Linked DNA regions of Nothobranchius furzeri. The protein of the gene in region 3 interacts with the protein of the main gene of each other region in a biochemical or structural test. Links are inferred from orthologs where the notes say so. Each region holds a gene or a part of one and is shown on either strand. Other genes may lie near its edges.

Region 1 (3,151 bases), on a different chromosome or scaffold from region 3:
AATTCATTCATTCATAGTAAAGCGCTGGATTAAGTCCTCTGAACGGACCAGGTGTTCACTGAGAGACACAATGATGTGAATTACAGTAAATGTGTTATCTACATTCACCCTTTCATCAGTACCAGGGTTGTTTATATTTAAATTAATGCTGTCAGGTAAAGTGCTGATGTCATGGAGTGTGTGACCAATCGTGTGTTCTGGTCTGAAGTTTGGTTTTAAACACAGTAAATGTGTGATCATGGTCAATGTTGTTGTTTGTGTTTAACACTAACCCAGACTAACTGTAGCCCAGATTAACTATAACCCAGGTTAACTGTAGCCCAGACTAACTATAACCCAGGTTAACTGTAGCCCAGACTAACTATAACCCAGGTTAACTGTAGCCCAGACTAACTATAACCCAGGTTAACTGTAGCCCAGATTAACTATAACCCAGGTTAACTGTAGCCCAGATTAACTCTAATCTGAAGTGACGTGTGAACAGGTCAACAGGCAGGGTGCTTGCTTCAGTGTGGGTTTATTAGGAAGCAGAAAGGAAAACTGACAGGAAAACCTGGAAAAGTCCAACAAAAAACTCCACAAAGCCAGAAAAGCAGCTTTAACCTGAAGTCAGTTCAACTCTGTCAGCAGAGACGTTCTGGTTCTGGTTCGGTTCTACTGGGCTCGTGTTGTTTCTCTGGTTTATTCAGTAAAGAATACTGCATCAGAACCGGTCTGGGATCTGATCAGAACCGCTTAACCAGAACAAAGTCCGTTTTGATTTATCCAGAACTCTCAAGCTACAGAGCCGACACAGGAAGTCCAAATGGACCGAACCATGATGGTGTAGAGAAAAAAACCTTCACGAGCTACATATACAATCCATCAAGAGTCCCGGACGTATTTACACCCCCACCACCCCTCCAGTCAAAGATCCATACGCTGGTTCTGGTGGGTTCGGTTCTACTCCACCACCAACTCGAACTCCTCGGCCTCCCGGAACTCCGCGTTCATCTGAGCGGCCAGATGGTCCAGCTCGGCCGAGTCAATCTGCGGCACCTTCCGCCTCCTCCTCCGCTCCTTTGACACCGACACTCCGGGGATGTTCGGGTCCGGTTCAGCAAAGCCCTCGTCGGTCGATTCAGTGAAAGACGTGATGGGTCCAGAAACTTCCAGAGCGTCCCTGGTCTGCTTGGACTTCCGGACAACCTCCGGGGTCCTCAGCCTCTCGAAGCCGAATAACGTTTCTCTGGAGTCGGGGCTACTGTGGAGGGAACTGTCGCTGAGCCTGCTATAGGACCGGCGGGCTTTCTGCGCACACACGCCGGCCTCTGGTTCAGCAGCCGGCTGCTGGGTCCGACAGGAGTCCGGTGGGGAGGACGGGAGGATCCGTGAGGGCATGGGCGCCTGCTGCTTCTTCCTCGCGGCGGAGGAGGAGGCCCTGCGGTCCGGGCCGGGATCGGGGGTTGAGACTTTGGTCTTCAGCTGCTGTACCTGCTCGGAGTGCCTCGGCGTGTTCTCCTTGTTGTGTTTAGACGAAGCGCTCGTTTTTCTGGGCGCTATTTTCCGCACGGTGATGGAGCGTTTAATTCCCAGCGCCATCTTCTCACCTCCCAGCGGAGCTTGCGGAGAACTGAACCGCGGCGAGCGTCTTCGCTGCGGCCCGAGAGGACCGTTAGCTCCCGCCATCGCCCCATGAGGCGAGCCTTCGTCCATGCTGAAATCTGCCCACTAACAGCGAATTATTCACTCGGTTTCGATTGAATCTCCTCCGGTTGCTCAAACAACGGCGCCACTTTCGAAATTACCCGCTCGAGTCGCACGGTGATGACGACAACATCATCGTGACTCTAACAAGCCGCGCCAGTGGAAGAGCAAAGTTTTTGCTGTGTAATCCGGACGCTTGACGCTCATACTTGACTGCTGTCTCACCTGATTTTCACCGTTATTCCGTGTTGGTTCGGTTGGAGACGATGGAATATTTAATCGGTATACAGGGACCGGATTTCGTTCTCGTCGCAGCCGATAATGTGGCCGCCAGCAGCATCATTCAGATGAAACACGGTGTGTTAGCTACCTAGCTTAGCATTAGCTCTTCTCTCATTTGATTCTGTTTCTGTTTGTCAGACGCGTGTCTGCGTATAAGTCTTTATATTTTAGGATTTGCTGTTTCATTCTAACGCATTAATGACCATTTGTCACATTTTATTTGCCAAAGGAGATTAAAAAGTAAGACAATAAAGCCATTACCGGCCAATGAGAGGTACGATGAGCCTTTTAGAAATCAAACTTAGCTTCTGAGTTTAGTTCTGAGCTTTAGGATGTTTATATGCTTTATTCTAGCCTGCTAAATCTCGTGGTGAGCGACCCCGGCGGTGAAAGTGAAAGTCCGGTTGTGTTCAACAGAAACCAAATCAAACTGGTTCTGATCTAAAACAGTGCACATGTGTTACTGATCGTTGTTTAAAGTTAGATGTAAATGAATCTGATCTGAAGGGATGCTTCAGTCCAACCTCCTGGTTCTTTTTCAAAGTGATGTTTTCTCATCACTCGCCTGAATCCGGACCTGGTTTCTGTTTTTGGGGCGACTGGTGCTGACATCTGGCTTTTTTCAGAGGATGACTTTCACACTGAGTTTTGTTCTTTGGTGTCTCAGATTATGACAAAATGTTCAAGCTGAGTGAAAAGATCCTGCTGCTGTGTGTCGGAGAGGCCGGAGACACGGTGCAGTTCGCGGAGTACATCCAGAAGAACGTTCAGCTGTACAAGATGAGAAATGGTATGATGTGGTTGTGGCGCTCTTCCTTAGTTTCACCGTTTGTCACCAACAATTACTGATGCTTGTTTCCTGGTTTTAGGTTATGAACTCAGTCCAACAGCAGCAGCAAACTTCACACGGAAGAACCTTGCAGATTATCTCCGGAGCAGGGTTGGTATTCTGCACCACCGCTTTAAACAACTGTAATTATAATAATCTGTAAAAGTACGATTTTTACCGCTGGGGTGAAAATCCCGGTTTTTCTTGACTCCAGCGATGAGTCGGCTAAACCGCTGGCTGTTGAACCAGGTTTCTGTCCATGTTTTAGAAACGGCATGTTGCCCAGCGCTGCGCTAGTAGGAGGAAGCTGAAAACTTTGTGTGACATGTTTTCAGCAGTAAATCCTGTTGGATT
Region 2 (3,401 bases), on a different chromosome or scaffold from region 3:
AATTTTAGATACTTTTGAGTGTTTAATATTTTAATTCTTTTTTATAATTAAATATATATTTTTCTCAATATATAACCATATTTGATAAATATCACAATAAATAACATACAACTGTTTGTATTTTAACATCGTCCTTGTAGTTTTATAAGCTGATAATTAAACTGAAGCAAACATCTTTACTGTGAACTAAATTTACTGTGTATCTTCATTCCTTTTGCCGTCCTTTTTCATTTGATTTTTCCTACTTGGAAGTTAGAATTTCCGAGGAGTAAGCGAACGCACCGTTAGCTGATAACAATGGTGGCAACGGAAGCTAACATATCAAGCTAACGTTATCTTAAACAGTTTATTTAGCTGCTGGAGCAGATTAAAACGATGATGCCTCACACTTAGATCGCTGTCGCTGGTTTCATCTTCACCCAATCACCCGTCGCATTTAGTAAAGTGAAGCCAAACTTTAGAGCGCGTTCATGTTCTTCTAGTCGGAAATTCGGAGTTCCGAGGAGAAAGCGGACACACCATTAGCAGAACGGAAGCTAACAAATCAAGCAAACGTTATCTTAAACATTTTATTTACCTACCGGAGCAGATTAAGATGAGGATGTCTCACTTAGATCGTTGTCGCTGGTTTCATCTTCACCCAATCACCCGTCACATTTAGTAAAGTGAAGCCAAACTTTAGAGCGCATTCTAGTCAGAAATTCGGAGTTCCGAGGAGAAAGCGAACGCACCATTAGCGAAACGGAAGCTAACATATCAAGCTAACGTTGTCTTAAACATTTTGTTTACCTACCGGAGCAGATTAAGATGAGGATGTCTCACTTAGATCGTTGTCGCTGGTTTCATCATCACCCAGTTACCCATCACATTTAGTGAAGTGGAGCCAAGCTTTAGCGTACGTTCTTTCTACCATGCTGCTCTGTTTACAACTCGCTCGCAGCGACCGACATAGCGCTCTTGCGCATGCGCAGCTGTCTAGGCAAGTTCTCGTTATGAAGGACGGGTACCGAAACGAGGCACCGTTTCACATGACGTGAATCTGTGCTCAGTCTGTACTATGGAATTCGGTCGGTACCTTAAAAAGTACAGAATTCGGTACCCATCGCTAGGAGCCACACAACATGAGTTCATAAAGCTGGTGCAATCTGCTGGATAGGTAGCGCAATATCGGTCATCTTTTTGGCCAATAACCGATACGGTTAATGACTCCAATATCGGCCGATATATCGGTCGGGCCCTAGTTTTCATGTATTTATTTGAGGTAAGAAAATGCAGGTGAACCTGGAGCTGTGAGGTCATCTTATTGCAGGAGGTGATCTGAGAACCAGAGAGGCTGAAGAGGCTTTCCCTTGTCTAACGCTGGTTTATACCCACTCACAAATACAGCTATTTTTTTTATCCATAAAAGGAGTCAGTTGGAAAGGGTACCGTCTTTGTCAGCATTGTTAATAAAGTTGTATTCATTTGACTATTTTAAAGTGATGGTGCATCTTTTCGTTTTCCTTTCCATGTCAACAAAAGAGAACGGCTGCTGTTGGCAGAAAAATACCAGCCTCTTCTGGTGAGTTAAGGACTAGGCTGGAGCCTCAGAGTTCCCAAATCCACTTCTAGTTTCCAGAAATGACTCAGACTCATCCTCAGAGCCCTACTTGTGCTGCTGGTTCATGTTCCGTGTCTCCTTGTGCTCAGAGAGAAGGATGAAACCGCTTCTCCCTCGAACCGAATCCTACTTGGTTCCGATCCAGCTCCCTGTGGCCTCTCCGTTGTATCTGTCAACCCCGTCTGCCTCCTTTAGCTACGCTTGCCCCAAGCAGAAGCAGACCTTTTCTCGAGGGGCAAAGAGAGTCCGCATAGCTCCTAAGGTAAACCGCTTTTTAGGCACAACTTGTTGTAATTTTCGATGCCAAAGGAATCTAACATATTATTTTCCATGAAAAGGTGACACAAAGCAGCATCTCGGTTGTGGCTGAATCTCCTCCCAAGATCACTAACCTGAAGCTGGAGATAAAGGAGGAGCCAGTTGATGTTCCAATAAGATGTGAGACTCCCATTCGTCCTCCGAAGAGACAAGCCAGCAGCTCTCGACGCAAACAGAGCCTGGCTAACTCGCTGCACGAGGAGCCTGTTCTCCTCTGTCCTGATAGTGACTTCTTCGACTCTGGTGTAGCTTCTGATGTGTCGACGTTCCAGGACGTTCTGGATGTCGGGCCGAATGAGCAGCGGCACAGACAAGACAGTCCTGACCGGGGGTTCTCCTTCAAGACTCCGATAAAGAGCATCACCCACCTGACCTCTTCCACCCCCAGCAAACGCTCTTCTGCTGGACTCGAGCCATGGCTCGTGACCCCTGTGGGCAAAGGGAGCCAAAACATTCTGGACTTCAGTCCTATTCGCACTCCAAGCGGTCCTGTAGCCACGCCCCGGCACGAATACACCACCTTCAGTCTGAACAGCACTCCCTTTAAAGACCTGGCTCTGTTCAGCTCCCCCCGGGAGTTGCTCACCACGGCTCCCTGCAGAGTCACCAGATCAACGGAGTCGCCGATCGGACACCCGCAAAGCAGCTGCTCCAGGGAGCTCCTGCAAGCCGGCAGCGCCACGCCCACTAACCGCTCGCTCACGGAGGGCCTCGTGCTGGACCTCATGAACGACAGCCTGAGCAAGATTCTGGTGGACATCAGCTTCACGGGTCTGGACGAGGAACTGGGCATCGCTAATATCAGCTGGTCCGAGTTCATCGGGCAGGTTTAGATCACTGGAAAGATAAACTGCAGAATTTGGAGAAAACACTACAAACCACACACACACACTCTTTATTGCTTTAATGAAACTTTATTGACAAACCGCAGGTTGATTTTTAAATATTAACGCATCTTTATGAATATATGTTACAAGAAGAGAGCCGTCGTCTCTCTGGAACAAAACGAGCTCCTTTTTGCTTTGCTTGAGCTGATTTTTGCTGCCGTTTCTGGTGAAGTTTGAGATAAACGACAGCGAGGCTTGCTCACTCGTGCTTGGCTGTTTCTCTGCTAGTTTGGGTTTGTTTGTTTTGCTCATTTAAATCACTTATTGGATTATTAACGTCCGAACATTTTAATCCACAACTGTCGTTGAAAGAAGATGAATATTTAAGTGTATAAATAAGTTGATTTGCACATTCTAATATATGATTTACAGCACTTCCATCTGCAAGTGGGAAAGAGTTTCTGAATATTTTAGAAAGATCTTTCTGTGCCTCGTGGTTCAAACAGCGTTTGGAACCGCATTAGACTGTAGGAGTAAGAAAGTATTACTATTATTAGCACTAACAGCAATAGGATTGTCTCTGTTTACTTTAGAAATGTACGTTGTTGTTTTAATTCTCACTGACTGGAATGTTTTTGCCATCTTCCAGATCTGAT
Region 3 (3,450 bases):
AGGCTCCTAAAACCAAACATGACTTGTACACAAAATGACTTGTGTTCACAAGAGGCATGGCGGCAAGGTTGAAGAACTTCATCTTCCAATCTTAACTCAGGAAATAGCGGGACACACTAAGGTACGCCTCTGTAGCACGGCTGGTCCACATGTCAGCAGTCAGGGACAAGCGACAGCTCAGAGGGTCTGCTTTACCGTAAAGATACCAGATTAATAATTATGTTATATTTAGGAACGCACGTTTCCCAACATTTCTTTAATGGTTATTGAGGTCCGGTTAAGCAGAAACCAACCAAAACCCTACGCCCACAAACACTTGCCCCCTTCATTTTTGAGCACAGTCATGTGATGAGCTCATTTCTTCTGCTTGCCCAGTAAACATATTTTGATATCAGCGCTAGTGTGCCCTCTAGTGGCACAAATTATATTACACCTCATCACAGCAGAAGGACTGAAAGCAGTTAACCGGTTACAACATTAACCGGCTATCTGTGTACATTCCTAGTTATATCAAATAAAGTAGGTTAAGATGAAAATGTATTATGCTTTAGCAAGATTAGTTTCTTGATTGCTCAGTCAGCAACCTTTTTATTTGATCATAAAATACATTTTATTCTAATGCAGGTGAGATTAAAAAATGTTTATAAATTAAATAACGCGTAGACTATTAAAGGGGACAAAGAATCTAAACCAACATTTTCTTGTTGTTTGTGAATAAAGACAGCCTGGGTGATCAAAAGTAGCACGCCAAAAAGTCAAAGCTGTGTGTGACCTACTTTTTATGTAAATTAGAAAGTTTAAAAATGCCAAAGAAAAACTTCTTTTCTGAGAAATCTCTCATAAAAACTTCACAACGTGGAGCTCTTCCTCCTCCAGTCTCCAGTGTCTGAGGCCTTCTGGTTTAAACCAACCAATCAGCAAGCAGCTCATTAGCATATTCATGTCCTGGCCAAGTGGGAGGGATAAACCGCTCTTTTCACAGTAAGGCTGATTTTACACTGGCCTGTATGGCCTATTTGAAAACTACTATAATTGAGGTTGGGATGTTCTATTCCTGAGCTGCCCGCACACAGAAGGATGACTGACCTAATGTACTTTTCCTTAAGCCTGGTTCATGCTTCTCCGTCAGCTCCGCAAGAGACAGACGCGCATGGATTGACGGAAGCGTTTTGCTCTCATACTTCTCCGTCTCATGGAGAGTGTTGCAAAGCAATTCCCCGGCTGGACAACAGAGGGCGTAGCGCTGTTCTGTGGTATCCTGTCATGCATCGGTCCAAGATAGTGTTGTTTATATTATGTTTTTTGTATATAAGAGACTTTTAACACGGACATATTTGTCTCTCATCCTCCTCCACCTCTTCATGCGCTCACCACCTCTAAACCCACGTTTCCTGTCATTTCCGTCCACAAATAAAATGCTTGCTGCGCATCTTTTCACTCCTCCAGCCACGGGGGAATTAAACGTTCATGTTTTTAGAGTTTTTTCGCGAGGTATTCTTCAAGCTTCTCCGTGTCTGCTGCTTGTTATCCTCGGCTCTCTTTGTGTTTTTGAGGGCGCAGTGGCGGCACTGTAGACAACAGCGGCGTCCTGACCAATCACAAGCTTGCGTTGTCTGTCTCGAGTGATGGATGTTTAGAAAAGAGCTCGACTCCATCCGTCCTTGCGGAGCTCTCCGGCAGGCACGCAAGGACGTTGCGTGTCTCCGCACTGACGCAGACGGAGAAGCATGAATCAGGCTTTAGAGGGATGGTATGGTCTCCTCTGGACGCTCCTTTCTGTGTGGCTGTTCTGATATTCACAAATTCACTGGCTAAGGTGTATTTATTGTTTACAGCTTTCCCTCACATGAGGCATGAAGTTTGAGTGTGAGTCTACCTGGATGTGTAGGTATTTGTACTGTTGGACAATTCAATGTTCTTCTCCTGAAACTGTGATGTCTAGGTCTACAGTTGTCTTCTGTCTACTGCTTATGACTAATTGAGCTAACTGTTTTAAATATTGATAGTCTGACCATTGATTTTGAGAGTTTATTGGCTACTTCTTGTTTGGAGGTTGCACGTACATTTAAAACTAAAAGTAAACTCTGTCCAAGACTGGGGAGGTGATGCTGCTGATGCCGATACTAGTAGCATGGACGCTAATGACTGTAAAGACTTACTGCTTTGTTTTCCTGAAGCATAAACATGTATTCACCTTCCCATCTTTGTTGAAACACCTTCCCTTCATCAGTCTTTCTCTTCCTGGACGTTGTGGGATAATCTGTGGATGGTTATTTTCACTTGTTCCATTAAACACAGATGTGGAAATGCTGCGACCCAGTGGTGAAATACTGTAGCTGCACTGGTAACACAATCGCCATGCACTGTGGGAAATGTAGTTTATCGTTGGTGTACACTTTGAACTTGAAGATCTCATGGGCCACATCCGGCCCATGGGCCTTCAGTCTGACACGTCCGCGAGAGGGACTGTTTCTCGGGTGGCCAGGGATTTCCTTGGGGTTCCCCCAGAGGAACTGGCTCAAGTCGCGGGGAAGAGGAAAGTCTAGGCCTCTCTGCTTAGGCTGCTTACCCCGTGACCCAACTCTGGATAAGTGGCTGAAAATGGATGGATGGATCTGTAAATGGGACTGAAATAGTTTTAAAGCTGACATTTGCTTTTTCTTCTTCTTTTTTTTTTTTTAAATAGAAAATGCTGGTTTACAATCCTCCAAAGAGAATCTCTGCACGTGAGGCCATGAAACACCCCTACTTTGATGACCTGGACAAATCCACCCTGCCAGCTGCTACCAGCAATAACATCTAGGACCCATTTACTCATTCCACTTCAACGCATTCATTTCCTCTGGGAATATTCATCTGTAAATACTTCTCTGTTTGTGTGTGTGCAGACCATAAAAAGTGTAATGGCTTTCAATAAACCTAAAATTAGCATGATTTGCTTTTAAACTGACATATTGGCTCCATTAGTGGACAATAACCTTTCACCAGTTTCATTATGTAGTTAATGCAGTCTGAGTATCAGTCATGTTGCAGTTTTACAGCCTACTGGGTTAAAAACAAGCTAAAACGGTGTTTCTGTGCCTATCTATGAAATCTACTGGTGTAATGAGAGATTTCTCTTCACATGCCAATAGACCTAATGTTGGAATACCATGGACTTCATTAATTCCTCTGTGGGGAAATTCACTTGCTGCAGCAGCACACACACTTGAAGACTAAGTAAAATACGAATACAGTTAACTCAAACCACTAAAAACAATAAATAAATAAAAACTTGGTTTTCCAGAAGTATGCAGCATTAGAGGCAAACTAATGTACATCCAGAATTACACAAGTAATGAACTCTTACTGAGTATTGTATTGATGTTATTTCAAATACTAATGCTAGTACCAGGAGTTATATACACTATCTGCAGAAGGGGACATACGACCTACGGTGGACCTACATCT
Region 4 (4,172 bases), on a different chromosome or scaffold from region 3:
AAAAAAGAAGAAAGAAAACCATAATGAAGAAAAACCTTGCTAATTATAGTTAAGATTCAAATATAATTCTGAAATAGCAGCAAAAAAGTACAATTTTTATTTCAAATGACTCATAAAATGTTTAATAAAAATCTATGTTAAACTTTTCATATTAATTGTTGCCTAATACAAGAATAATTTAGGGACCATGTCTGCACATGTAGATGAGCACCGATGTTAACAGAACAGTAAAATTCTTTGAGAAAATCAGCGATGCTTCATAGGGAGTTTACGATTTAATTTCATTCAAACTAAACTTCGGCTAGTAGATTAAAATTAGCTCCACATTTACTGTTTCTCTTAGGGTTTCATACAAAATGAATACACAAATATGTTTTAAAGATTAGCATAATTAAAAAAAAGAAAGGAAAATCAACATAAAGAAAAAAAACTCCTCAATATAATTAAGATTCAAATATAATTCTGAAATAGCTGCTCAAAAATGTCATTTGAATTTTAAATGAAACATAATTGTTTTTTCTTTAATGCACAACAAATAAAAGAAAATTAGATTAAAATTAGCTCCACATGCATTGTTTCCGTTTGGGTTTTGTACAAAATAATATTATTAATATATTTAAATAATATGTATAAATTAAATTACTTTTTAGTCTCGTTATTTAAACATGAGCAAAGGGATTGTTTACATTGGGGGACGTCATCATAGTTCAAGCGCCATGACAGTGGAGGCTATGACACAATGTAGGTTAATTTTATTTTATGAAAAAAGTGGATTGTAAGCAATTTAGTCATTTCGTAAAACCCCTTAGATGCTAAAACAATGACGATTTACCAACTACTTTCACCCATGTCAAGAAAGTGATTCATAAAAATGGAGATTTGTAAGACGTTAGCTCTTATCATTCTATAATCCTTTATTAGACAAATTAACTCACTTTGCTTTCCCCCCAATACTTAGTTATTTGTTTGAATGTATAATTTTGGAGATTATTATACAACTATGATAAATTTATTATATGTATAATATAAAACTTTTGGATATTAATTTGGGACTCTTTCAGAATGAATGTAAACAATGGGAGAAATGTCTTGTTTACATTATAATAACGATATTTTAGAAGCCATTCACAAGCTGTCCGGTAAACATACAGTAAGCAATAATTTTATATAACAACTTAAAGAAATACGTACTGTGACCTTCGACGAGTTGAAAGTAACTAGATAAGTGACGAGATTAAACGTAAACTTCCACAGGTAGCGCGTCTCGACTTGTAAACACCCTGTGACGCAATAATCGGCCTGCGCAGGCGCTGCGCATTTCCCCAAAGTATAATATTTCGACGGGGGGCACGGATAGTCGGAACACCGGCGGTGCTGAGTGGAGGTTGGGCTGTTCTGGTTCTGTTGGTGGCCCTCGTTATCATATCCCCGCCCTCCAGTGTTCCCGCTCTCCTGAGGGCGGTTCTTTAAATTGTCCAAAAACTCCTCCTGTCCGACTCCGGCGCCTTTCATTCCTTTATCTGCGCGAGACGCACGTGCTCTACCGAGGGAAACCTTTGGATTAAACTTCTCACCGTGCTGGTAAAAATAAATATGTTTCATGTACAAAAATGCAGAAAGTTCAGCTTTTCGCTTATTTAAATGGGTTTGTGTGTGTTTTTAAGGCGCGTGAGCTGGGCTTTTTAAATGGGCGGGCTGTCTGACGAATAAAAGCTGTAGCCTATAGATCAGCTTTTTAACCGGGTACGCACCAGCCGGGCTTCAAACGGAAACAAGTCTACCTGAGTTTAGCACGGAGGCGATAGCACCGTGACAAAGGTGAGTGGGGATGCGACCACCGGTTTTACAAACAGCCCGGAGCTCCGGCGGGAAACGGCGGCACGTTGTCAGCCGTCTTTTGTTGCTTCGGTCCGGGCTCGCTCCGCTACACGGAGACCTCGGTTGCTGCTCTCCCCTCCGCCACTTAATTTTTAAAAAGCCATTCAGCTCAAAGCTTGTTGCCTGCAACCAGAAACGAGCCGCGGCCATTGTGGTGTGTGAGTGTCGGTGGATCTCTCCGCGGCCCAGGCGTGCAGACACGCTGCTCTGAGATGGTTCCGTGCGCAGGCCTGGTCTTTGGGCTCCTGCGGGGCCTATAAGCGCGGTCGGTACCGGAGGGAATTGGCTGGTTTTGTGGTCTTTTGCAGGTTAAGCCTGCTGTGATCGGTTTTCTGCGTAAACCTCTTGTGTCGCAGAGCGCAGACGAGACGGAAATAGACCTGGAAACCAGCGCGGATTAATTGGGTTAAACCGTGCGTGGTGCGGTCGGTCATCTTTGGTTTGTTGTTGCGGTCAGTGGGTTTAGTGGCTCACGGGTACACGCTGTGCTCAGTTTTCTGTGTGAACTCGACGCCTCTTGCAGCATCAAGGCCGGCCGGTAGGGTTTATTTAAATCATCATTATCATCATCATCCATTCAGGTTGGAAGAGCAAATATGAGCGACAAGGGGACAGTCTCACCGAAAGAGAAGGAGGCGGCAGAGAAGAGAGGGCGTGGAAGACCCCGCAAATCGCTCGAGGTGAAAACCTCTGACGTAAGTAGTGTCTATTTATTCTGGTATACTAGCTGATTTTCTACCACCCCGTCGTTTTATTATTATTATTATTATTTTTTATTTTTATTTTTGCATGCCATGGGAATAAACTTGATCTTAAATGCATGCAGAACCAGGCCGGTGTGGTGCTGAGCCTCAGGTCCTCTTGTGATCGCTGAGGCTCAGTTAGACGCACATGCAGGTTTGTGCATATCAGAGTCTTGAGACCAGAATAAAATAGCCCAGACTGCAGGAGCATGGCCTTGTGGCCATTTGCCCCCTGCTTTTCCACTGCTGAGGTGTACAGCAAATTCCCAGCATGTCTCACCAGTTTGTAAGCAACCAGTAACCTAACACCTTTAAACTGGTTTTAACCTCCCCCTCATCCTCTTCTGCATTACATAGGAGAGTTGTGGCCCAGAGTGGATCACATAGATGTCACTTGGCCTGCTGTGTATTACTATTGAGTTGCTGGGTTGCTAAGAGCTGTGATGATCAACACATCAGACGAGCAACAGAAGACGAGTGGGCCATGACGCCGGTTTAAACCACGAGTTGTGCATGAATTTGCTGAACTTTCAGATGTTATGGCAGTCCCCTCTGATGTTTACGGTTCAGCCAGATTGCTCAGTCAGTTTTTGTTTTGATTTCAATTGTTTTGATGTGCACTAAAATTGAGCCTTTTTGGGCATCTATTAAAACATTCTTGATATTAACTATAACCTGTTTGATATCCAGGAGCCAAGTGGGTCACCAACTCCAAAGAGGCCCAGAGGGCGACCAAAGGGCAGCAAAAACAAGACTGCTGGCAAGGGCAAGGTAAGTCATTGCTCGTCTTGTTTGAAACTTATATTCCCGTAGTTTGCAACAGCTAACCTCATCCTCTGCTGTTGATATATGTTTATTGGCTGCAGTTCAAGGTGCCACAAATAGCCCGGCCATGACTCCCTATTGGGGGCGGCAAAGTGATTATCAATACCAATAAATCTTGGTTAACTGCTTTATTTGGGGGTGGAAGGGGGGGCCTGATATTTACCCTGTACTTCCTGTCCTCCAGCTTCCTGCAGCTTGTCATGCACTGTGTGGTGCAGGTGCAGAGGCCGCAAGACTGTTTCCAGGCTGACACTAAGCACCCCTCCGCCCCCAACCAGCACACAGCCCTACTTCTTCTCTCTGCCTGTCGTCTCCATAGCAACAACTGCTTTTTCTCCCTCTCCCCAACCCTTTAGCTCCCCTGTGTGTGCGCGCCATTTGCTGTTACGTATGGGAGATGGAGTGAATAAGGGAGTTTAGGAAGCACCGGTATAGGTTTAGAAGTGCGGGCCAAGCTGTAGGGTTTGTCTCCACTCGATTTCACCAGCTGTCTCTGAGCCTCGGACCAGGTGGCCAGCGAACTGGAGTGCCCCGTGTGCAGTTCCTGTCGGCCGTCCAGATAATAGCCAATGAACCCAGTGCCCCCTTTCGATCGGTCTTGTTGCAGAAGTACGGCTGCCATCTACAGGCTAATCTGCAAATGGACGACAGATCCCCAGCACGTCGCTGAGAATGAAAATCATCTCTAAACAGCAAGACCCTCTTAAAGCTATATTGACCTTTTTA
Region 5 (4,156 bases), on a different chromosome or scaffold from region 3:
TGTAGTATATGTTGTTACATGACTATATGTTGTTACATGACGTTGTTACCTGATGTTCAGACATGATGTTGTTACTTGATTTTGTTACATGATGTTACTTGATGTTGGTACCTGATGTTATTGCATGATGATAGTACATAATGTTGTTACCTGATGTTGTTACAAGATGTTGTATAATGTTGTTACTTAATGTCACCTGATGTTACCTGATGCTGGTACCTGATGATGTTACATGATGTTACGTGATGTTATTTGATGTTGTTACCTGATGATGTTACATTATGTTGTTACCTGATGTTGTTACTTGATGTTGTTACATGATGATGTTACATTATGTTGTTACCTGATGTTGTTACTTGATATTGTTACATGATGATGTTACCTGATGTTGTTACCAGATGTTGTTACATGATGATGTTACATTATGTTGTTACCAGATGTTGTTACATGATGTTATTATTTGATGTTGTTACTTAATGTTGTTACCTGATGTTGTTACCCGATGTTGTTACCGGATGTTGTTATATGGTGTAGTTACTTGATGTTGTTACTTGATGTTATTACCTGATGTTGTTACTCGATGTTGTTACCTGATGCAAAAACAAGGTAAAATAACACTTGCTGTGTTAAAAAGAACAGTAATGCAGTAGAAATGCAGAACAATTTAATAAAACAATGTCAAATGTTATGACATGTTACTCATTTCTATGCACAGTGTAGAAGTAAAATGCTATTTGTGACCAAAGTGCCATTTAAAAAGATGAACTCAAATGTCAACTCACTTGTGCAGTGGAAATATGAACTAGACAAAGACATGGACAGATATGTTTGCCACATCTGAAGGGGATAACCTAATATAAATTAATGGAAAGCTGACATAATTTGCTTCAAAAGTTTGTTTTCCCTGACAAAGTCTCAGTTATGGAAAACTTGAGACACAATTTTAATATTGTGACAGTTTTGGTTATCATTGGTTTTGATTTTATAATTCAGATTGTCATTTTGACAGAAATATTTACACTGACGTTCAAATTACTTTTTAAATGTAATTATATTAAATGTTAAAACAGCTTGCCAAATTCACCGGCAGCCGGGGCGATGACGTACACAGTGCGTGAGTGTGCGTGCGCGCTCCCCAAAGAGCGAGACGCGTTTTTTTCCCAGAAATATGATGCCTCCCGCGCGTCCTCGCCTGTTGGTCGCTGCTGTTTCAGAAATGGTGAGATGACGATTCTGTGTCAACAGACTTACTTTCCAGACTTGAAGAAGTGCTGTGAATCCTACACAGATATCTCACAGCAGCAAATTAAAACAAAACAAAACACATTGTGCTCTTTTTAGCCACCCAAGGACGACAGCTACACCGTGTAGGAGGAGCTAGCGGCGTGTTTCCGTTAAGAGTAGGCCGAGATGGCGATCTAAGCAGCCGCACTGAATGCGAGCTAACAGCGGCCGAAGATTGGGCAGCTACTACCGGAAACCGATTCACTACTAATTCTTTAATTACCGGGAAGCTGTGGTTCTTCGTTTTGGGCTGGGCGTAAAGAAAGAGTGGCAGCTGAACTGGAAGCAATGGAAGCCGAGTTCTTGGAAATCGATGAGAACGAGAGGTGGAGCGCCATTTACCAGGTAGGAACTATCGGCTGATCATCAAGGTGGAGACACGAACCGTAGGTGAAGCTGTCATTTTAGGCCTGCTCACAACGAGTCAGCAGATATATAAGGTATTAATAATAATCAATGTTTTTATTAGTCACCGGGACTTTTCTGGGTGTGTACAGCCTTGTTCTGATGTGTCTGTCCGGGTATAATACCTGCAACACTCGCTAGGACCCAGGAGTGGCCCGGATCTGTTCTGACTTTAATAAACCTTTATCAAGTGTCCATTAAAACGTTAATCACGTTTTAAAATGCTGTTTAATCACTACTCATGAGTAACTACTTTATTATGATAATTTTAAGTGTGTGTACATGTTTACCTGCATTAACAGTGTTAATAGTGTGATGTCTAGACTCTTTTTTTCTTCTGTTTTTCTAAAGAATTAAATTTAGGAAGTAAGGCCTACATGCACTCAGATCCACTTTCACAGTGTGTGAAACCTAAATCTGCTAAAATTTATTTGGTAAATTTTATTTTGTCTCAGGAGATTCGCCAGCAGTCCAGCGAGTGCGCATGCAATGATGCCAAACTGCCTGAAAACAAGACTCGAAACCGTTACAGGGATGTCAGCCCATGTGAGTTACACTTTGATCATCAGCAGACTCGTTTGTTGTTTTCTCTCGGTTATTATAACCATTCTTAAATTCAGGTAGATTGTGTATTTCCTATCATACCCATATAATAATTCAAAGGTGACAGATTGTAAATTGTTAGGATTGTCTCTTTGAAACTAATTTCTAAATTTTAAATAAGAAAACAACAGTAATTATACAAGTTAGAAAATGTAAAAATAGTTACTATCCACAGAACTAAATCCATCACAGTCCAGCAGCTGAGCTTTGCTGGTTTCCTCTTTTTCACACTGAATAAGCTATGCAAATTGTGCAGCTTGGGTTGCAAATACTTAGTTTTTATTATTCACATCTAACAAGATGTGAAAATGAGGAACCTGAAACTTTTGCCCACATTTACATCTCATATGAAGGATAGGTGGTTACCTCTGTTGTTAGTTTGCTCAATGACTCTTTTCTCATCAGTGTTGCGATGGTAGGGCTGTTCCTCCCCTTCTAAACAACAACAAGACATTTTTATCTGTCTTTTGTCCCCGCTCCTCAGTTGACCACAGCAGAATACACCTGCAGCTGGGTTCCAACGACTACATCAATGCCAGCCTGATAACTGTTGAAGAGGCTCAGAGAAATTATATTCTTACTCAGGTAAGCATCCTGAAGATTCACTGTCCTCTGTATGATTTTACATACAGACACACATCTACTGTATGTAACACGTCTTGGAGTTATGATGTCAACAAATGATTTGGAAAATGGAAGAATACCACAGTGAGAGCATATCCATGGGATTGATCAGTGAGGGAAAAACAGCAAATAGAAAAGCAAGAATATTAAGAGGAGTATATATCAGGCTTTCTATTTGAAAATGGTGGAAATGGGCCATCACTGCTTGTAGTTAAAATGCTGGATGTGGACTAAACTGTCACAACTGCACGTGTCACAAAATCAGAGGCAGTGGCTCGGGTCCAGCTGGAGCCGTGGTTCTGTATGTCTGTATCACAGTACGCTGGTAAAAACCTGGAGATTAGAACGTGGCTGGATCTGTTATTTATTCATCCCGTGCTAATATTGTTATCTAGTGATGCGAAGAAGAAAGTGTGATGTCTTTAAAGGAGTGGTTTATTCCCTGTTTAGGGACCCCTGCCGAGTACGTGTGGCCATTTCTGGGAGATGGTCTGGGAGCAGAGGACCCACGGTGTGGTGATGCTAAACCGGGTCATAGAGAAAGGATCTGTAAGCAGTCGTCTGTCCTTACCGAGACCTTTTAATGTGTCCATTACTCAGGAGTCACGCTACTCTTTTGTTTTCACATGACCTTTGTTTGGTTTTAGATTAAATGTGCTCAATACTGGCCGCAAAGAGAGGAGAAGGACGCCATCTTTGAAGACACCAACTTCAAGGTGACTCTCGTCTCGGAGGACATCAAATCTTACTACACAGTCCGACAGCTGGAGCTGGAAAACCTGTTGGTAAGTCCTCTCTGTTGAGCTGTCTGCCTGAGATAAGAGGTTATTTGACGCTGAGAGCCCGTGGGTCCTGAACACCTTCTGCCACTCGTGATTTAGTCATGAAGACAGAGAAAATATACACGGTGTCTTGTGCTTTAGAGCAAATTAGGAAGGATAAAAGCTAAAGAAGAATTTAACTATTACATCCACAATTTTTACAGAGCTAAATAGTTGTAACTCGTATTTTCAGTTTGGCAGGAATGTCAGGAGCTGGTCCTACGTCTCATCACTTCCTGGTTTTGATCTATAATTTTGCTGCTGAAGTTTGTGGAGCATGAACTGATTTGTTGACAGCACTGGACCTTTCTGAAAATCTGTGTTTAGTTGGGCTTTTCTAGCTGCTGAGGGGATTTGATGCTAACCTATAAAAGGAAGTTTTTTTCCCTAGTTTTTGCTTTAATGCTGATCTGAGCTGA
Region 6 (4,084 bases), on a different chromosome or scaffold from region 3:
CTAGTTGTGGCGGCAGTTGGCCACACAGGTGCCTGATTTTTAAATTAAAAAAAACTTTATCGGCTTTTTAAAATAATTTTGGCCGACATAGAAAAAACTGAATATATCAGCCGGCCTCTAATTCAGATCTGAGAAAGCCACCAGCATGCCTCCAAAATACTAATATCCATTTTATGGTTGGAGTTTTGAGATGTAGTAAAGCAGGCCTGTCGGACGTGGGTGGGGGGCATGATTAGCTCTAGTGGTGTGACGTTCATGAACGAATCGAATCTTTTGAACGGGTTTTCAAAGTGAACGATGAGAGCAGATTCCCTCTAGAGAGCTGTTCATCTTGTCTTCCGGTAACAAACCTCCCCAGAAGTCAGTAAAGCGCAGCCGCTCAAACACCACCCACCACTGTCACGGACGTAGGAGGAGCACTAAACAACCCCGTGCACCCTCACGGACACCGCCGCAACACGTTGCTCTCTTTGCTTCGCTTCTTTCAAAGGAGCCAGTCTTTTGAACGGCTCTTTGAGGTAAACGACCGACTAATGAACGACTCCCACGAAAGAGCCATAAATCCCTAATCACACTAATTAGATCAAAGTCTGATAATCGGCCTTTTTTATTGTGAACTTATTTATTGTATTTGTAAATTACAAAACAGTCTTCCCTATCCTGAAATACAACCGTCTGTAACATCATCAGTTTAAAGATGGGTTTAGAGTAAACAAATGCAACAAAAGACCCTGATAGAGTAATACACACCAGTCTGTGTTAAATATTGTTGTAATGCTGCTTTCTGTCTTTTCTTCCTGTAGCTGACTGATCAGCCGTCGCTGGAGGAAGCCATTAGGATAGCATCAAGGATACAGCAGGGAGAGTCACCAGGCCTGGATGATTGATGAACTCCTTATGGACAAAAAAAAGACTGTTTAACTTTATAAGTGGGAGAAATTATGAGTCTTCCTTCTATTTGTTTTCACAGATGAAAGTTGCTCTCATGTGTACATAGGATTTTAATAATCTGAATTATGTTGTGTATTTTTCCCCTCATAAAAACATTTGGGGGATGCCTTCAAATGTTAAAAGTGTACAGTAAATGCTATTTGTAAACAAATCTGTGACTCTTAACTTTCCATCACTATTGCTCCACTCTGCAGGTGAAGAGGCTAGAGATCCATACCAAATGGTTCATTTAGAATATTCCTAACAAATAAACAACTTGCTGCATCAACAAAAAAGGGTACAATGGAAGACAACTGTTAAGAGATGGTGCTTACAGTGTTATAAATAACCAGATGATTCAGTTTGGGATTTTTTTTTCCCACTACAAACCACACCACCCAGTCTGCTGTATAACTTCACCTTTGGCAGTGAGAATATTTCTTCTAAAAAGGAACGATAAGTTTGACTCGTTTGAAATTCGCGGCAATATAAACGTAATTTTGATTAACGTAATTGGGTTTCAAGTTGCTTCACAACAGAGGCTTGTTTGATCGTGCCGCCTGATGACTTCGCGTTTTGTCTTGGCAATGTGAGCGTCGTGAAAAGGCACACGTTCGCGCCATATTGTTTTGCTGATATCTATGACGTAATCCACCAGAAATCGCTCTGGAACGCCCAGCTTTCAAAATTCAGAGGCAAGCTCTGATTGGCTGCGGTGTGACACGTGACCAACGGTCGCGGGAAGTTCTTCGCCACGCGCGTCACGGGAAGAACTCGTTGCTTGACTCATTCAAAACTTTTTGTAAACATAAGTAAGGTTTAATCGAGGAAAGACGTCGGTGAGTCACCGGGACGTCGGTGGACCGGACAGCCGCACTGGAGTTAACGGACTGAGTACTTTTATTCGTTTTTACTTTAATACTTTGGACGTTACATGGAATACGGCTCGTGAGAGGCCATTTCTTAGCGTTTCTCCCCGTGTTGTTGGGAGTTAGCAAGAAGAAAGTTAACGCTGGAGATTAAAAAACGTCTTAACCGATACCTTTACGTGAAGGTAAATAGAAGCAGACTACTTTTCTGTGGTGGGTATCCCCGGTATTTTTTTTTTTTTTTTTTTTTTAATTTTTTGGTCGATAATCTCGGGGTTTAAATCTTGAAAATGTCGAGTTACAGTCGCCATCGACACGGAACCCCCTCCCCTAAGTCTCGACCCATCCGTCAGAAGTTAAAGTTCACTTCCAGCGATGGAGAGGACGACCCTATCGAGGATGTGAACAACAGCACCGGCGGAGAGTCCGGCTTCACGGAGATGGATTCCCCCACGCCATTGCGACGGGACACTGTCGGGAAGCGGCTGGAGGGCAGCTGCAGCCCCCTGAATCAGTCCGGTGGGGACGACGACGTGGAGCTGTGGGACGAGGAGAGTCTCGGTTCCCCGTCTCTAATCTGTTCACCGAGCAGTGTTATTTTTAAAAACTGTTCACCGAGCAGTGTTATTTTTAAAAACTGTTCACCGTCATCCAAGAAAGTGTCCCGGTTGTTCGGAGGGTCGCCTGAAGCTGGAAGGAGCTTCCAGGACGACGGAGAAGGATCCAGCTCTCCGATCCCGGACTGCCCGGACACACCTCCGCACAAAACCTTCAGGAAACTCCGGCTCTTTGACACGCCGCACACCCCGAAGGTCAGGATCTGTGTAGACAACAACATCTTCATGTGTCTCCGTAGAAACATGAGTTTACTAAACATTAAGAATTTTTTTTATTTATTTTCATTTTTTGCAAGTTTGATCTATTCATTCACAGCTAGCTTTAAAAGCTGCCCTGTTAGGGGCGCACGTTTTAATATAAAACATCCGTTTGTTGTAAAACTTCCAAAAGCCCATTCACTGCGCTAGAGTCTGGTATCAGCCCGGTGACCCATTAATGTACCTGTTGCATAAGCCTGTTGGTCAGAGTCCATGCAGCTTTATGTCCAGACATGTCTGCATTAGACAAGACACCAAAACTTTACTCTTTATTTGAAATCAAGTCAACGTGAGTTCAAGCAGATGTTTTGTTTTGTGCGTTTAGTAACGACTGGTCCTGTTTTTGCAGAGTTTGCTTTCCAGAGCCAGAGGTTCTGCACCAGGATCCTCCAGCAGAAGAGTTGCTCTTTTTAAAAATGTTGAGTCTCCAAGAAAGCCAGCCTCGGACAGTGGCAGGAGACCGCACATCCCGCTGGTCAACTTTAACCCCTTCACCCCCGATTCCCTCATCATCCAGTCAGCCACACAGGAGAGGAACAACAGGAAGAGAGCACACTGGAACGAGTATGTTGCTCAGGGGTTCTCAGATTCTAGATTATCTTGTCAGTACTTGTTATGTATGAAGATACTGTTCTGTAGGACCAGATCAGCTGAAATATCTATTTTATGTATTAGTTGTTCCTGAGGTGCTGCCAGAGATCATCACACGTTGCAGAGCAGGGTCGAGCAGCTGCACCTGTTCTTTGTAAAACACAATGAGGCCTTTGTTGAGGCAGACCAGTGATGTTAAGGCCGTTTGTTGATTAGGACTAGGGGGTGTTGGCTGGAAGTCAAGACCTCATGGTTACTGATGAACTCAGACATGTGCTTGTGAAGGCACTGTGCTGCCCCCTGCTGGATAGAATGCTAACCAAATATCCCCTTGTTTCAGCTCCTGTGGAGAAGACATGGAGGCAAGTGACGGTGAAGGCAAGGATGAAGTCCTCCCACCATCGAAGGTAAATGAAACTTTTACCCCTTCATAGATTTCTTCATTTTGACCCTTTACTGTGGAAACAAAACCCCTAACCCCAAACAAATGGCGTGAAGTAGACTGGAAGATCTCAAAAAAAACATGCCATCATGACCTGTGCTAAAGACGTGTGGTTGTTACCAATATTCTTTGGAAACATCCATGAAAATGTTGTTGAAAATGTATTAAATGATGCCCAGTAGTTGAAAATAGTGGCTGTTTTGTATCTGATAAAAATTGGGTCTGAAATACACAGGAGTGGGTCTAAGGCCCAATCTCAATACTCTCACTTGCACCCTTGATATTACCTACAATCCGTAGCAGCAGGAGAAAAGACTCAAATGCCTTTTTTGAAAATATGTATTTTCTAATGAAAGTTGTCAATTTTAGGACGATTA
Region 7 (3,500 bases), on a different chromosome or scaffold from region 3:
TATCAGTATTCCTTTACAGAAGACATGATATCTGTCCCTCGGGTGGAAGAGCCGAGCTCTTTTTCTCAGTTCTGTGATCTGTCAGGTGGTTCCTCCTCCCTCGTTCTCTCGTATGTTCCCGCAGCGTCCCCTGTGAGCTCATTGTAGCTCTCTGCTCCTCCTTTACTGTAACTCAGACGTCCCACTGCTGCACGTGTGAGGCTCAGAGAACTCTGTGGCTCAGGGAGGAGTCTGCACAGGGGTCAAAGTCCTCCTTCAGATGATTTGTTTAAAATAAAAATTAAATTTAAATATTTCTGTTGACAAGCAAATGCAGCTGCACTAGAAACACAAATCAGCTGTTGACAAGCAAATGCAGCTGCACTAGAAACACAAATCAGCTGTTGACAAGTAAATGCAGCTGCACTAGAAACACAAATCAGCTGTTGACAAAACTCTTAAGATAATGAGTTACCAAACCTAGTATGTCACGCTACCCACTAGAGCCACAGATTTTGTTTTCGAAACATCGGTGACGTCAGCGGGGTGCAGCATGCGAGTATGACACAAAGAATGTTCCAAACATGTCTGAACACAGTCACATGTGTATTGTGAAGTCACTTTTTTATCATAGGGTAATAAGCCTCCAGGATCCCCCTCCCCAGAGGTGTTGATCTGAGTTGTGTGCTTGTTTATTGTCACACGCTCCCTAAACCGTCAGGATGTTCCAGCTCCATCAGATTCAGTTTAGCAGGTTTTCAGATCTAATCAAGCTTGACGCTGGATGTTCCTGTATCTGTGTCACATACTTGGCGTGTCCTTGTGGCAATATTCAGTGAGGAACAGTTGTGTTGTCAGACCAGAGACGTGTAATATGGACTATTTTTGCGAGGGAAATTTTGTGTAAAGTTCACGTATAACCACTTCCTTTTCACACTTGGGTTGGGGTTGGCGATCAGATCATCAGGCTGCTTGTGTAGGCTGCGGATTAAAGAAAAATAGATATGAAGACTGAGCTCAGATGTAATGATGATGAAACAATGCACACATTTGTACAGGTTTTGTGTGTTTTGTGGTTTGGTTTAAGTGACGATGTGAAAACCTCTCCGGTGTGTTTTTATTCCTCACAGTTTTAATAAATCGTAGGATTAAAGTAAATCTGTGCGTGTGTTTGTGTTGTCAGGGATCCCCGCTGTTTGAGCTCCTGAAACAGGAACGTGGGAGTGGAGCAGAGGAGCAGGTGGAGACTCCCGGCAGTTTCAGCCAGCCGCTGCAGCACAACCACACCGCTGCAGACCTGTAAGTTACTTTACAACCAGTCGGGGAAATAAGATCTCATCTCAGACCCTAAAACCCTTTTTTTTTTTGGGTTAAATTTGTGAAACCGTTGTGCCTCACCGAACTCCATGACTCACTCGCAGTTTCCTGCTGCGCATCAGTGTTTGGGTTTTTCCTGGGATGGAAATGTCACTTATCAGTGTTGAAAGGTTATCTAACATGTTCCACTGGTTGCACTGACGCATGAGCAGATATCTGTCACCGATGCGAGCCGGCCAGTGGGTTTCGCCTCCTGAGTCCCCCGTGAAGCCCGTGTGCAAGTCTGCCCCCGTGGCTTCCTCCAACCCCGCCTCTCAAGCTCCTGGTCAAGTTCCACGACATTCCAAGTCCAACTCCCTAAGCCTCTTCTATAAAAAATGTAAGTAAATTTTAGTTACTGATCTGAGGGCTCAGGGGTTGTCTTGTATTTAGTAAGAAATATTTGTTGAGATGAGCAGTAAAACAAGAGTTGATTTGCTATAAAAATATTTTTAGAATTTCACAAACTCAAATCATTTTTTGCAGAAATGTTATTTTTCTCCTTCGTTTGCATGAACCCAACTGCTCGTTTAACAGCCTTCCTCTCTGAACTCAAAGAAATGAGGTTGAATGTTAACGCTGTAGTTTACACGTGTTTTCTCTGCCCCTTCCTCTGTAGTGTACTGCCTGGCGTACACCAGACTAAAGACGCTCTGCTCCTACTTGTTGTCCTCTCACCCTGAACTGGAGCCCATCATCTGGACCTTGTTCCAGCACACTCTGCAGCATGAGTACGAGCTGATGAGAGACCATCACCTGGACCAGGTGCTTCAACACCAGCATGACTTTAATCCTCCCGTCTCCACCTCTTGTTTCTTTTTACTATTAAATCACCTGCTTGTCCTTTTGCAGTTGATGATGTCAGCCATGTATGCCATATGCAAAGTGAAGAGTGTCGATCTGCGCTTCAAGTCCATCGTGTCGGCGTACAAGAACCTGCCCAACACCAACCAAGAGGTGGTGCAGCTTCATCCGTAGAAGTGAACTTCCTGTTAATTCACCACTTATTAAACCTGCTGTGCTCTGCAGACATTTAAACACGTCTTGATCACTGAAGGCCAGTACGACTCCATCATCGTCTTTTACAACCAGGTGTTCATGCAGAAGCTAAAAACCAACATCCTGCAGTATGCATCTACCAGGGTAAGTCCACAGGGAAGCTTGGATCCATTTATGACCAGTAAAGCTTACTGCTTTAATACCGATATTTTTTTCCAGCCGCCCCCCCTCTCTCCAATCCCACAAATACCACGCAGTCCCTATAAGTTCCCCAACTCGCCTCTGCGTGTTCCTGGGAGCAACAACGTTTACATTTCTCCCATGAAGAGCTCTCGCGTGTCCCCGGGTATTATTACACCTCGCTCCAGGTCGGTGCTTCATTTTTGTGATTTGAATTTTATTCATTTCAAATGTTTGAAGTATTTTAAAACATCTTATGGTGTTGTTCGTGCCCTTTGCAGAATGCTGGTATCAATCGGGGAATCGTTTGGGGTAGATGGTCACCCTCACAGAATGCTGCAACTCCTTTTTTCCTCTCTCACACTTGACTTATTCATTAATCCTGTTATGTCCTCATCTGCAGCTGTCCAATCGCTTCCAGAAGATCAACCAGATGGTCAGCAGCGATCGCTCCCACAAGAGGACCCTGGATCTGGGATCTACTCCAAAACCTCTGAAGAGGCTCCGCTTCGACATCGACGGGCAAGACGAAACTGACGGCAGGTCGGTTATCACAGCCATGATTTAGTAACTGCGCCTCAAACATGTTTGCTTTTATTTTGGACATAAAGAAAAGTAACTGTGGTATATTAAACAGCTGACTGACGAGTTAGGAGGATTTAAAGTGTCTTTACTGCAATTTACAGCAAACCTGGAGAAGACTCAACTCTGATACAGAAGCTGACAGAGATGAGTGAGTGTGTTTATATTCCTGTTGTTGCCGTTGAAAAGGGTTGGTATTGATCCAGTGGGATTGTTGTGTGCAGGCTCCACTCGGAGTCGCATGCAGGAGCAGAAGCTGAAGGAAGACGCCGAATCCAGGAAGGAGTCACTTTAAAACCAACATGCGCCGATGGCCACGTTGTTCACTACTGTTTAAGTTTGTATTTAATTTTACTCTGATGTCAGAGGGCATGTTCCTCTTTTTGTGTTTTTACTAAATGAGG

The links.
Region 1: of the proteins of cdk1 (region 3) and cdca5, one has a biochemical effect on the other in vitro, tested with the Homo sapiens proteins (2 studies listed by BioGRID). The link is inferred for Nothobranchius furzeri from reciprocal best matches to the Homo sapiens genes CDK1 and CDCA5.
Region 2: of the proteins of cdk1 (region 3) and foxm1, one has a biochemical effect on the other in vitro, tested with the Homo sapiens proteins (2 studies listed by BioGRID). The link is inferred for Nothobranchius furzeri from reciprocal best matches to the Homo sapiens genes CDK1 and FOXM1.
Region 4: of the proteins of cdk1 (region 3) and hmga1a, one has a biochemical effect on the other in vitro, tested with the Homo sapiens proteins (3 studies listed by BioGRID and IntAct). The link is inferred for Nothobranchius furzeri from reciprocal best matches to the Homo sapiens genes CDK1 and HMGA1.
Region 5: of the proteins of cdk1 (region 3) and ptpn1, one has a biochemical effect on the other in vitro, tested with the Homo sapiens proteins (2 studies listed by BioGRID). The link is inferred for Nothobranchius furzeri from reciprocal best matches to the Homo sapiens genes CDK1 and PTPN1.
Region 6: of the proteins of cdk1 (region 3) and wee1, one has a biochemical effect on the other in vitro, tested with the Homo sapiens proteins (5 studies listed by BioGRID, with this or other methods). The link is inferred for Nothobranchius furzeri from reciprocal best matches to the Homo sapiens genes CDK1 and WEE1.
Region 7: of the proteins of cdk1 (region 3) and rb1, one has a biochemical effect on the other in vitro, tested with the Homo sapiens proteins (8 studies listed by BioGRID). The link is inferred for Nothobranchius furzeri from reciprocal best matches to the Homo sapiens genes CDK1 and RB1.

The regions. Positions count from the first base shown.
Region 1 is NC_091759.1:26,797,174-26,800,324, forward strand, and holds cdca5 (sororin), read right to left. Parts: upstream 1,696-3,151; coding exon 943-1,695; 3' UTR 501-942; downstream 1-500. UniProt on the Homo sapiens protein: Regulator of sister chromatid cohesion in mitosis stabilizing cohesin complex association with chromatin. May antagonize the action of WAPL which stimulates cohesin dissociation from chromatin.
Region 2 is NC_091741.1:41,398,879-41,402,279, reverse strand, and holds the end of foxm1 (forkhead box protein M1), read left to right. Parts: intron 1-1,521; coding exon 1,522-1,561; intron 1,562-1,689; coding exon 1,690-1,862; intron 1,863-1,938; coding exon 1,939-2,751; 3' UTR 2,752-2,901; downstream 2,902-3,401. UniProt on the Homo sapiens protein: Transcription factor regulating the expression of cell cycle genes essential for DNA replication and mitosis. Plays a role in the control of cell proliferation. Also plays a role in DNA break repair, participating in the DNA damage checkpoint response.
Region 3 is NC_091752.1:60,143,044-60,146,493, forward strand, and holds the end of cdk1 (cyclin-dependent kinase 1), read left to right. Parts: intron 1-2,686; coding exon 2,687-2,803; 3' UTR 2,804-2,950; downstream 2,951-3,450. UniProt on the Homo sapiens protein: Plays a key role in the control of the eukaryotic cell cycle by modulating the centrosome cycle as well as mitotic onset; promotes G2-M transition via association with multiple interphase cyclins.
Region 4 is NC_091755.1:54,122,556-54,126,727, forward strand, and holds the start of hmga1a (high mobility group AT-hook 1a), read left to right. Parts: upstream 1-1,372; 5' UTR 1,373-1,581; intron 1,582-1,663; exon of another isoform or gene 1,664-1,818; intron 1,819-2,459; 5' UTR 2,460-2,474; coding exon 2,475-2,573; intron 2,574-3,311; coding exon 3,312-3,392; intron 3,393-4,172. UniProt on the Homo sapiens protein: HMG-I/Y bind preferentially to the minor groove of A+T rich regions in double-stranded DNA. It is suggested that these proteins could function in nucleosome phasing and in the 3'-end processing of mRNA transcripts.
Region 5 is NC_091755.1:52,048,892-52,053,047, forward strand, and holds the start of ptpn1 (tyrosine-protein phosphatase non-receptor type 1), read left to right. Parts: upstream 1-1,356; 5' UTR 1,357-1,572; coding exon 1,573-1,629; intron 1,630-2,144; coding exon 2,145-2,235; intron 2,236-2,776; coding exon 2,777-2,877; intron 2,878-3,366; coding exon 3,367-3,465; intron 3,466-3,563; coding exon 3,564-3,701; intron 3,702-4,156. UniProt on the Homo sapiens protein: Tyrosine-protein phosphatase which acts as a regulator of endoplasmic reticulum unfolded protein response. Mediates dephosphorylation of EIF2AK3/PERK; inactivating the protein kinase activity of EIF2AK3/PERK.
Region 6 is NC_091744.1:46,647,475-46,651,558, forward strand, and holds the start of wee1 (wee1-like protein kinase), read left to right. Parts: upstream 1-1,284; 5' UTR 1,285-2,089; coding exon 2,090-2,611; intron 2,612-3,023; coding exon 3,024-3,238; intron 3,239-3,605; coding exon 3,606-3,672; intron 3,673-4,084. Other genes in the region: znf143b (zinc finger protein 143), read left to right, coding at 804-887. UniProt on the Homo sapiens protein: Acts as a negative regulator of entry into mitosis (G2 to M transition) by protecting the nucleus from cytoplasmically activated cyclin B1-complexed CDK1 before the onset of mitosis by mediating phosphorylation of CDK1 on 'Tyr-15'.
Region 7 is NC_091750.1:48,268,348-48,271,847, reverse strand, and holds part of rb1 (retinoblastoma-associated protein), read left to right. Parts: exon of another isoform or gene 1-27; intron 28-1,162; coding exon 1,163-1,278; intron 1,279-1,508; coding exon 1,509-1,675; intron 1,676-1,954; coding exon 1,955-2,100; intron 2,101-2,187; coding exon 2,188-2,292; intron 2,293-2,364; coding exon 2,365-2,478; intron 2,479-2,553; coding exon 2,554-2,702; intron 2,703-2,795; coding exon 2,796-2,826; intron 2,827-2,917; coding exon 2,918-3,057; intron 3,058-3,200; coding exon 3,201-3,247; intron 3,248-3,320; coding exon 3,321-3,391; 3' UTR 3,392-3,500. UniProt on the Homo sapiens protein: Tumor suppressor that is a key regulator of the G1/S transition of the cell cycle. The hypophosphorylated form binds transcription regulators of the E2F family, preventing transcription of E2F-responsive genes.